Linked DNA regions of Drosophila melanogaster. The protein of the gene in region 1 interacts with the protein of each later gene in a pairwise test. Each region holds a gene or a part of one and is shown in the gene's direction. Other genes may lie near its edges. The genes, in order: sty and CG13731.

The links.
Region 2: the proteins of sty (region 1) and CG13731 interact in a two-hybrid assay, tested with the Drosophila melanogaster proteins (2 studies listed by BioGRID).

What each region holds. Positions count from the first base shown.
Region 1 is NT_037436.4:3,421,637-3,426,505, reverse strand, and holds the start of sty (sprouty), read left to right. Parts: upstream 1-1,570; 5' UTR 1,571-2,081; intron 2,082-4,869. UniProt on the Drosophila melanogaster protein: Inhibitor of tracheal branching that restricts branch budding by antagonizing the BNL-FGF pathway (BNL: branchless, an fgf inducer of branching).
Region 2 is NT_037436.4:17,383,046-17,390,799, reverse strand, and holds CG13731 (uncharacterized protein), read left to right. Parts: upstream 1-1,843; 5' UTR 1,844-2,052; coding exon 2,053-2,055; intron 2,056-4,337; coding exon 4,338-4,406; intron 4,407-4,465; coding exon 4,466-6,772; 3' UTR 6,773-7,164; downstream 7,165-7,754.

The sequences.
Region 1 (4,869 bases):
TGAAATTGCCCTCGAGTTCATGTTTAGACATTCACCTCGAGGCCAATGTGTTACCTCTGCCACTGCGGCGATTATCTAGGACACTTGTGACGTCAGGCGGGAAAACTGTTGGACTGGGGTGGCGTATTCATTGCGGATTGAATGCACGAAAAGCCATCAGAGCCAAACACCCAGACATCAACTTGGCCAACTTTCATACGGATTTCTCATTGAGCATTTTCGTTCAATGAAATTTCATTTATTTTTATTCTGTCCGTTCGCATTCACACTCATTTATTCGAATTTGTTTGCCCAAAAATGTTTCGGCCAATATACATACGTATATATAATTGAATGGCAGACCACTTTTTGTTGTCGAGTTTGATCTGATCGAATGATTCACATTTCGGTTGGCATTTCAATTTAGGGTCCAAACAATGGCAGATGTCCAGTTGTCCAACTCCGCAGCAAAGCAAATGAAATTCTTTCGGGGATACCCTTATCTTAAAAGGTTATTTTGTTTCTTTATGTTCTTGGGAAGTATTTAAAATATATTATTATTTAATGCTATTCAAAAAGTATCTTACTCAACTTACTCATCCTAAAATAACATTTTCCTAGCGCTCAAGAAAGTAATCCACATTCGTTTTTGAATCCAATTTAGCTCACTCAGCTTTCTTGTTAGACTTTAGCTTTTTATTGTTCTTTATTCTGATGTTCCTTATACATATACAATATATACGTATACAAATATATATGTAGAGTTATTGTGATGCGTACCGCCCATATGTGGAGCTCGGCGAAGTGGCTGCTTTCCGCCAAATTTGGTGCCGCATTCGACCGGATGTCGTTGGAAATAATATTGAAATCTTTATTATTTTCACTGATTAATTTATGGGGCAGTAAACGAAATGAGCTTTGAGTGTGCTGTTCGATTTTAATTTGGGAGCGGTGCACAGGGTGCTGGCTAATTTTCAAATAAGCCCGCCTTAAGGAGGCAGGGCAACCCTGGCCGAACAGCTGATGGACAACGGATGACCTTGGGGGTAATTGCAACAACCCCCAAGTGGAAATTCACTGCCATGGCCAATGTCGAGGCGACGCCTACCGAAGGTCGTTGCCAAGGCAACTGAGTGGGCCAGAGCCCAGCTCATTGGGCCAGGAAATGCAGGCGTGTGTGAGTGGGCGCCCATTGAAAGTGGCGATGCATTCAAAATGGCCGTCAAACGGACGACCTTGAAAGCCGAGTGCTCATTGGCCGGGCCACCGAGGCCAGGATGTTGGGTGGCGGGTGGCTGGTGGGTTGGTAGGCAATTGGAGGGGGCTGGATGGCCATGCAAATGGAGGGAACTGGGAGCCAGGAGCTGGGAACAGGAGCAACCAGCAGCCAGGAGCCAGGATTAGTCCTGCAGCAATAGCCGAAATCGGAAAACAATACGAATGTCGCACGAAGCCCACGCAATGTCGTTTCGTGTTTCGGATTTTGGGACCTTCGGCCCAACGAATGGGTATTCCCCTCCAGGACGAGATCCTATCGGCAATCTTCGGGTGAGGCTGCAGCTCCGATGCAAAAGTCGTGCAACATTGGCTCAGTCACTGGACGATAGTCAGGCTGCATTCAACGTGCAATCTCCGAGAACTTGTGCTTGCAAAATTATTTACCAAATATATATACCCGATATATATACAGTTGTATGTTCAAAGACACAACGCAATTAGCGATTAATAGATGCGCACACGGCGTATGCGTAATTTAAGTGAATCCAAGTAAAAGTGCGCGTGTTTTTAAATAATTAACAATTTTAAATAGTAAACTATCCCATTGAAAAAAAAAACATAATCATACATAGCGTAAGCCTCTTTAACTTTATTACAAATTAATCGTGCTATTAATCAATTAACCAAGGCATCTCGTTGAGTACAGTTGCCACCAGAAAAACAAAACAACTCAATCAACCCCAAAAACCAGAACGAACAAAGGCGAGCTGTACCGAGCCAAAAAAAATCTCTAATCAAATTATCCGCATTATCTGCAATCGAGTCGACCAAGCCGAGGAAAACTTTCAACCAGAACCCATCCATCAAGCAACTTCCCTTCACCGGTGAGTAGCTTCATTGTCCCTTGTCCATCTCTATCAATATATGAACCTTCGCAGTCGAAGAACACTTAAATGTCTCAAGTCATTCATATTGTCAATTGGAACTTTGGATCTTGACTTTTTGTTCTTCTCTTGAGAGCTAAAAGTCACCCAAAGGTTAAGTGACCAGTGCTCATCAGTTGGAAAGGCATTAAAAGTCATTTATATGCCAGTGATTTTTATGCAAGAGATCTTATCGAAGATTTGTCAAGGATATTATAAATGTATTATAAAATGTTCATCCATTTGAATCTTAAATATCTGAGTAAATACGCGGTTGTATAGTTTGTAGAAATTGGGAATTAAATTTCTGGAAAAGTTGAAAAGTCTATCCTAGCCAATATTTTAAAAAAACAAGATCAACTCGATAAAAATAAATTCGTGACATTGTTTCTTTTAGTCAAACAATGATGAACAATTTCCCTACAATATCTTTGAGCTTTGAGTAATGGAATAACATTTAATCGATAGTATGATAGGTCTTAATTTTATAAATTTGTCATCTGTACCCTTTTTCCCTACCTAAAAATCAAATCTTATGCCTGAGCCTTAGAGCTTAGGCATTCTGGAATGCCATAAATCATTTTCACTGCCCCAAATGGGGGGAAAGGCGGAATCGGCGAGGATGAGTGGGGCGAAGTGGCTGGAAGAAGGCTCTTAAGTTAATTTAGTACTTTGTTCGCTGTGCCAGATCATTAAAATTATTTGGCGACTTTGAAAAATTCGAAACAGTAGCCCACAAATACCGACAGCTGAACGAATCTCGAAATGAAATTGGTTTGGCTGATGAGGATGGAGATCGTGTTTTCGTTCGCCGGCTACCCGCTGCGTTTGTCTGCAGATGTCTCATAAACATGAAGACCAACCAGTCCCTACCCTCCGAATATATATCTTTTTTCGAAATTTGTATAATCTGTATGCGAATCATAATGACGCGAAATCAAGATCGGACTGAAGGCTGAAAGCTGAGACACACTTTGGCCTTTTATGCCAGCTCACATGGAGGCTGAGGCTCAGCAAGAATTTTAAAAACTTAACCCATTTTGCAAACATAATGTAGTTTTACATTTGAATATATAAATGGGGATATTATGTATAATTAAATTCTGATATAAATGTAGGCAATAATCATTGTTTAAATCATAGCAAAGAATTGCAAATTGGAAAGTCCTTTAATGATTAAAGAAGTCATAAGAAGTACATTTAAATGCAAGGTCTTGGTCTGTTTCTATATGACTTTGGGTAAAACCAAAGCATCTGGGAGTTTTCCTAAAACCCCTAGGATACCCAGAGGGTTAAGGTTTCGCTGAATCTGTACCGTTCAATTAGCTCTGTCTTTGGGACTGGCGTTGACCAAGACTAATGCGCACATTTCATGCTGATCGTCGCAGGAATTCCAATTCCCTGCGAGTGAGTTCTCCTGGGTTTCTTATTTTAATTTTTTTTTTTTTTTTTGGCTCTGGGTTGGGCTGGCCCTGTCGGAGGAGACCTTTTCTTTGGGTCGGTCGCGTAACATAATTGCGTGAATAACTGCGTTAATTTCCCAAAAGACTTGACAGCGGATGTGGCTACTGGTCTGCGCCGTTGACTCCTCCAGCCTCCCAAATCCTCAGTCCTTCACCTTCTGCTTTGCATTGGCATTCCACGGACTATGCCATCGATATCGATCCGATTCGAACCGATCCTCTGGGCCCTGTGCCTCTCGCATTTTTGGACCCGGGTGTGCCAATGTTTTTTTTTTATCTTATTTATATTAAGTTTTTTTTTTGCCATAAATGGCTTCCGCCGGAGTGTCCAGTTTTTGGCTCACGCTGCATACGCATATACATGTGGAGCTCCATTTAAGGTGGTTCCGGGGGCTGGGGCTCCTCCAATATAATTATGAATAGGCAGGCCATGTGGGCATGGGCAACTCCCCCGCCTTCGTGGCCCCAACTACTCAAATCCAAAATATGAGCTATGCGTTCCAATTTCAGTTGTGGGCTTTTCTCGGATCTTAACTCGGCCCCTCTTTTCTTTCGCATTTTGCACCGGTAGAAATAATAGATTTAGTAGAATTATTGCTTGATTAGAAAAAATATTAATTAATTATCTATTTATAATATAGTTTCTAATTACACACTGCACCAATCCAATTGTTTTTTGTAGACACAAAAAATATTTTTTCACATTATATTTATGTGTTTCACAATTTTTTGAACCTTAGGTTAATATTTTATATTTTCTAAACAAAATACAAAGTATTTTCATGTTAATTTGGTAAAAGTATTTTTCTTAATGCCTTTATACCATTTTTTCACTTTATCGATCGCAACGGAAGCGAGTTGGCGTTGCCATCGTCATTTTGCGTTTGTCACAAATTTGTTTAGCTAAAATATTGATAGAGAGAAGACATAAAAAATAAACACAATTTTTTAGATAGTTTTTCATGTGGGGGTTCCGACGGAATTCGGAATTCGGTTTCGAGCCTACTTTGACGAATTTGGAAGTAACATAAATATGCATTCTGCTCAGCAAAAGTATGACATTATATGCCATGTGACAATTTATGCTGACATCTCCTCATTATTTTATTATATTTAAAAAATAAGCGGCTTCAGCTTGGCTAACCTTGTTTAATGAAATCGCTTGATACTTATTTATTTTTATTTTACTTTGTTGTAACGCCAGTCAGTTATCTACCAATTTATTAATACATTCTTAATGATCGATTGTGGGGAAAATTGTTTACAAGAACTAATCACCTAATCTA
Region 2 (7,754 bases), about 14 Mb from region 1:
GTTTTATGATTTAAGATTTGTTTATCTCGCTTCTCGTTTTGTTTTTGATGACTAAAAATCCCATTTATACAAAATAATGTTCGGAAATAGCGCCAAGACAAGATCTCCATTCTGATAAAACATAATGAAAAACTAGATATTATGATTTCCGCGCCCGAAGACAAAGGCTCATAACAATTCACATACGAGCTCTGAAACTTCCCTAGATTAACAAATATATTTTTAAATTATCCAAATAGCAACCTGTCTAGAATGCGGTTTAGAACAGGCTCAAGCGACGGTCTTGTTTGATTCGAAAACCGCTAACGTCCTTCAGTGGAGTCCAAAATTTGAGGCAGCAAATTATCAGACACTCGGTATGGAAGTTGAATAATCGTCTGTTGCAATGTCGGATGAGGTGACAAAAAAAGGCTTTTCCTCTAGCCGGCAGTCAAGAAGCATTCGATGAGCCAAAAACTAAAAAAGAAAAAAATAATAAAAACAATTCAGTCGCTTCAGTTATCCGCAATGACAAATTTGAAATGTCAGCAGTCGCCGCCAAGTGTCATTGCCTTTGTGAAGATGTGCGAAGCAAGTTATGACCCGAATAAGTTAGCCAGCAATTATGTAATAAAAGACAAGAATTAATGTGGCTCTAAGTGGCGTCTGATGGCCGCAGGGGTGACTTCCGTTCGGCTGCACTTCCTCTGGGTGTTGTTCCGCCGTTTTATCTAGACCCTGACTACCCAGTGACCACGCACCTTTGGGCCGAAAGAGTTCAAAGTCACATCTATTTTGGGCCCGCTCATGACTGCGCGTGGCCAGTGGGTGTCACTCTGATTGGTTCATTAAAATCAAGACGTGACTGCTTGCGAATAAATAAATTCTAGTTATTAAACTGGCGAAATGCAGGCGATGACAAATGCCGAAACCCGTTTGGGAGTCGCTCGAAGAATGCAGCACTGAACACCGATCACCGATCACCGATCATCGAGATCTTCGAGTGTGCGTTTAAAGGTCACTCGGCTGACACGGAGTCAGAGATGAGCTGAGCCGAGCTGAGCCTACCTTAACATTCAACTCCGGCTGCCATCTGCTGACCCCCGGGCACACGCATTTTTGGCCAAGTCAACCGGTTCATGTTCAATTGGCCGACTCCAACTCCAACATCGACTCGCAACTCCAACTGCATTTAGGCCTGATCCGAGGGGTAAGTGCCATTAGCCAACGCCTGATCTTCTCGGCCTTATTTGCCTTGGCAAGCTTCGTTGGGAGCCTTGACTTGGCTCTCGATCGTCGAGCCAGCTTCGGCTTGTCTCATCGATTGATGAAATTCGGTGGCTCGGACCCATTTACCAAATTAAATGCTGCACGACAACGTGTTTAACACTCGCCGCAGACTTCTGCCAAAAGTACGAGCATATTTGCCAGCCATCGGAGTTGGCTAAATAGAAATGCCAACAAGAGCAGGCGTTGGTGGATGGATGGTCGGATGGCCGGATGGTGCGTCTGGCTTAGTTGCTCTTCTGCCATAATTGCTGGGCCTTAATTTGGCTGCCTTTTTGTCTTAGCCATGTTATCTGGCTGTTAACTCACAAACATCAAACAACCGAGACTGGTTGGCTTTCTGGTCAGCATTCAGCTGTCGGCGTCGCTGTCGACGAAGGCTGAGGCATCAGCAGCGGCAGAGACTTCGTATTCGGCTCATCTTCATCTGGCCAAAACGCTTTCGATTTCGGCTTTTGGCCGTGTGTTAACAGCTGTCGCCCAGGTGAAGATGCCTCTGCCGACGCCGCTGCCCAAGTGGGCAGATGCTGGGTCCGAGTATATATAGAAAATCTACAAGTTTTGATGCTTTAGTTGGTATTCCACACTCGACCTAGAAGTTAAACCAACTTAGCTTGGCATCGATCAAATTCAATCGTCCATTGAATTTGATACGATCGGTCGCGTCTTCTCCTTTCCGATCCTCACAGTACCGTCCGCAAGGATTATTCACGCACACCGCCTAGGATTACCTACGCACCCGGGATTACCGCAACTGCCGTTTGTAGCAGTCCGAAAGTGTACACCATGGTAACCGAACCCAGTTCCAATCCAATCTAAACCAAAACGAACAATGATCGTGTGCAAAGTGCAAAATAACGAAACAAGTGTCCCTCGGTGTGAAGACAAACAAGACAGACATTTCGCAAAGGAAAAGCAGTGCAGATGAAGATAAAAAGTATCAGTTTTGTTGGTCCAAAATATTTAGGGAGTTTCCACGTTTTATAGTTTGGGCTTGTGACAGTACAGAAAATAATTGAACGAATACGAATTTTCAATGATATTTGTATTCAAACTTTAATTTTAAATTAAAACATTTCTTGTGTTAAAATAATGTGTCAGCTATTTAGCGCTAGATCTTCAGAAATTTATTAATCCGAACTTGTATAAAAGGATACTAAAAAAGCATGTTCTACAATTTTATAGGGATACAATCATAAAAAAGGGTTATAAGATAAGATAGGGCCTTTAAGTTCATTCAAAATCATTCCGATTTTTCTCTGTGCATACCCAAGCATCGCAAACAAGAAGAAATAGCAAATAAATTGCCAACACCGACTGCAGTTCCAATTCAATCGCCATCTATTTGCATTTCACATTTTGTCGAGGGTCCAGCTCTGGACCCGGGCTATCATCGCGAGTTAAGAGTTGACCAGATGGCGGTTGACATTTAAGCCATGTAGAAATTGAGCAAGTGGCATCGAGTGCAATGTTACGCATACGCCGTGTTGGCCGCCCACAGAGCAAATCGCCTTGGCGCGATCCGCAATTTGCGTATTAAGTCATTAGGATGGACCAGCTGCATGTGCATTCTGCCATGTGGCGGCAGTTTCTATGTCAGCATTGACATGGCTGAAGATGAAATTAAAACTTGTTTTTTTTTCCATAATTTTCGCTTTTGCTTCTGACATTTGCTAGTCGCAATTTGCGATTGGCGTATTTAGGTAAATAGCCATAAAAACGTTGCCTTAAGTTAGATTCTTGACGTTGCCATTGAATAGACGTCCATTAATCACCATCATTGTTGCCAAAGAAGATTTCATTTGTTAAAGGGCCGACTGATCTTTTCCCCAGACTTTAATTCACCCAAATCTCTCACAGTTTCGGAAAAATAAAGTTGCCCCAAAAGTCTTGGCATTGGGGCTCTGCCCTCGAGGCGGTGTGAATCAGATTAATTAGCTGCCAATTAGCTCACTGAACAGTCGAGGGAATCGGTTTGCCCCTGCAAATATCTCTCCAAGTCCTTTCACTTTCTAACCTTTAAGCACCACCCGCCATAAGTCAAACCCGATTTGGTTCTCGATATCCTCAGCTCAATTGTGGCTGATATTTAAAACAAGTTAGAACAGCAAAAATTTTAGGTTCATTAGCATAAATTATTTAAAATCATTTACATACAAAGATCAAATATTTTTGAAATTAGCAAACAATCAGAAACCAACAAAAAAAATAAATGAAACTGGACCCAGTCGATTTTGGAGGTATGGCTTAAAATCTAACAGATTTGGTTATAAATGACAACCGGGGCTTACTATTCTTCGCATGCCAGATGCGTATGCTAATTTTGCGTTTTCTCACTAGTTTTATGGCCAGTCTTTGCTGATTATTATATAATCATGGCTAGAACTGGTCTGGAGTTTGGGGCCCGGATCCGGGCCGGTTTCTTTCATAATCGGCTATTTTTATAGCCCCCGAAAATTCTCCGTCAGCCAATTAATTGAGCTCATCGACACTGGCCATCTGCGGCCATCGACGAGCACTTTCATTAACTAACAATGACCTTGCCGAAACTCCAGCGACAAATGCAAATAAACCCGCTGACAGCATCGTCGGAAGCCATAATTCAGGGGCTACTTCCTCGGATCCCCATTGAGCTTCGGATCTGTTGTGTCGCTCCGCATTTGCATGGGCATTATGTATCAATCGCGTCAATCTGCGATATTTACATACATAGCTCCGGGGGAGGGGACTGACCTAGAGATGCTAATGCCCGTCAAAGTTGAATGTCTGCGTTAGCATTTCGGGTGATTTTCAATGCATTATGGTAAATCGATTCGCCAGCTTGGCTGTTTGTTGGCTGAACTTTACCACAGTTTTGAACTGCAGGCCAGCGGAGTTGCCTTGCCTCCTCCGACCCCGACCAAGTTGCCACGAAGCGTGAATAGGCGATTAGCCTAGAAGGCGATCAATTAGTCGCAATCAGGTTGTTAGAGCCAGTCGTTAGTCTGAGCACCTCTGTACGGCGACACCATCGAAGTCCATCAATATGTAGCATCACTAATCAGGCTGTGTTTTTCGTTCCTTCCCCACAGAGAAGTGCACTGTTCGTCTTGGCGCTTTGCGTTGTGGCTGTGGCCACCGCATCGGCCGATAACCATGAGGTAAGTGCGGAAATCTGACGATTCCCTGCCAACAGGAACTTACAAGCCACTTTTTACAGCGCAAGACTCGTGCCGCCGAGGGATACTTCTACCCCCCTCCCGATGTTCCATTCGATCTGCCCGTCCGCACCACACAGCCGCCAACAAGGCCGCCAACGCGCCCTCCTACTAGGCCACCCACCAGGCCACCCACCAGGCCTCCCACGCCACCACCAACCTACCTGCCGCCCACCAACAAGCCACTGCCACCAGTGACCACCCGTCTTCCTCCACCACCACCACCACCAAGGACTCCTCCCCCAACGAGGCCCCCAACTAGGCCACCAACCACTCGTCCTCCGGCAACCTACCTGCCACCCACCAACAAGCCACTGCCACCAGTGACCACCCGTCTGCCTCCTCCACCACCATCACCAAGGACTCCTCCACCAACGAGGCCGCCAACTAGGCCACCAACCACTCGTCCTCCAGCAACCTATCTGCCACCCACCAACAAGCCACTGCCACCAGTGACCACCCGCCTGCCTCCTCCACCACCACCACCAAGGACTCCTCCACCAACGAGGCCCCCAACTAAGCCACCAACCACTCGTCCTCCAGCAACCTACTTGCCACCCACCAACAAGCCACCGCCACCAGTGACCACTCGTCGTCCAACACCACCACCAACGAGGCCACCACCACCACCGACCCGTGCATCGACTCCAGCTCCTACCTACCTGCCTCCCACCAACAAACCACTGCCACCAGTCACCGTGCGCACCACTGTTCGCACCACTCCTCGTCCAACTCCTCCTCCTACCAAGCCACCAACTCGCCCACCAACCACTTATCTGCCACCCCCAACTGTGCGCACCACCCGCCCTCCTCCACCACCCACTCGGCCACCAACTAAGCCACCAACCACTTACTTGCCTCCCGTTACCGTGCGCACCACCCGTGCCACCCCCCCACCAACTCGCCCACCAACCCGGCCACCAACCTACCCACCGACCACTCGTCGTCTGACCACTCCGGCTCCTACTTACTTGCCACCCACCAACAAGCCTCTGCCACCGGTCACCGTTCGCACCACCGTTCGTACCACTCCTCGTCCAACTTTGCCTCCTACCAAGCCACCAACTCGCCCACCAACCACTTACCTGCCACCCCCAACTGTGCGCACCACCCGCCCTCCTCCACCACCCACTCGTCCACCAACTAAGCCACCAACCACTTACTTGCCTCCCGTTACCGTGCGCACCACCCGTGCCACCCCACCACCAACTCGTCCCCCAACTCGCCCCCCAACCCCTCCTCCAACTAGGCCACCACCACCACCAACCCGTGCATCGACTCCAGCTCCTACCTACCTGCCTCCCACCAACAAACCACTGCCACCAGTCACCGTGCGCACAACTGTTCGTACCACTCCTCGTCCAACTTTGCCTCCTACCAAGCCACCAACTCGCCCACCAACCACTTACTTGCCACCCCCAAGTGTGCGCACCACCCGCCCTCCTCCACCACCCACTCGTCCACCAACTAAGCCACCAACCACTTACTTGCCTCCCGTTACCGTGCGCACCACCCGTGCCACCCCACCACCAACTCGCCCACCAACCCGGCCACCAACCTACCCACCCACCACTCGTCGTTTAACAACCCCGGCTCCTACTTACCTGCCACCCACCAACAAGCCTCTGCCACCGGTCACCGTTCGCACCACCGTTCGTACCACTCCTCGGCCAACTCTGCCTCCTACCAAGCCACCAACTCGCCCACCAACCACTTACCTGCCACCCCCAACTGTGCGCACCACCCGCCCTCCTCCACCACCCACTCGGCCACCAACTAAGCCACCAACCACTTACTTGCCTCCCGTTACCGTGCGCACCACCCGTGCCACCCCACCACCAACTCGCCCACCAACCCGGCCACCAACCTACCCACCCACCACTCGTCGTTTGACAACCCCGGCTCCTACTTACCTGCCACCCACCAACAAGCCTCTGCCACCGGTCACCGTTCGCACCACCGTTCGTACCACTCCTCGGCCAACTCTTCCACCCACGAGGCCCCCAACTAAGCCACCAACCACCTACCTGCCTCCCCCAACTGTGCGCACCACCCGCCCTCCTCCACCACCCACTCGGCCACCAACTAAGCCACCAACCACCTACCTGCCCCCCGTCACTGTTGTGCGCACCACCCGACCTCCTCCACCACCCACTCGTAGGACCACCGTGTACGTGCCACCACCAACAGTGCGCACCACCGTGTACGTGCCACCCCCTACGCAGCGCACCACAGTCTACGTCCCACCCGCACCCACCAAGCACCAGGGCTACCAGTACCCCGTGCCCAGCATCCCCTTCAACTTCTAGATCTAGAGATCCAGATGTGATTAGGGATAGGGCCATCGTCTAGGGCTAGATTGATCTAGTCAATTCTCGTACAGTCTAACTTTACACGATCCGGCGCCAGCGGTGCTAGAGGGCGCCACTGGTGCGCCTGCAAGGACGACATTTGTTTGTTTTTATTTTATTTTTGTAATTAATGAATCGCATACTCATACAGCTAGGGATCATTGTAAATGAGTGCCCCAATTGTACAGCTAACAGTCTATCCAACTCTTGCTATGTTCTATCACTATTCTACAATCGATGGGCGGCCGTCGTCTGTGACGGACGCCAGCTCAAGACTATATAGCTCTATATTACGATTAAATAAACTTTTAATTCGGATCGCTGAAACCTGAACAATAAAATAAGTTTTTCGAATATTTACAAGCATTTTTTTCATCTGTTTTTGGGAAGCGGAAATTACATGCGGTCCTGTTATGTTATGTGCGATGTTTGAAACCCAAACAATAATAACATATTTTCTTTTTCACTCCTAACCGGGAAATGGGATCAAGCCATGTCCGGGAGATTTTGTGGTCTGGTTGGTCTCGTGGGTTCCTCCTCTTTTGGGAGTTATCTTAAAAGTCGGTTTTAACGACTATGCAAAGGAGATCGTTGCTTGCAAGTCATAAAGCGCCCAAAGTGCAGGTTAGGCAGTTAACCTTGACCTCCACTTCTGGTCTCTACTAATTTAAGTTATGGATGTGAAACACGTTAGCTTAGTTAATAGGTTTGAAAAGTTCGTATGAGTAGGTATTTAAATACATGTATGTTTACTATGAGCGATGTATATTTTCATGAAATATGAAATAATTTAACCTTAGGTTATAATTAAATGTCAAATTTGAGATATAGTTAAAATGTGATTTGAACTTATGACTTTTAAAATATTGAATCGATTTTTTTAATATAATTATTGATTATCACTAAATGTTATCATTTCCCTTTTTAAAAAGTATTTCAC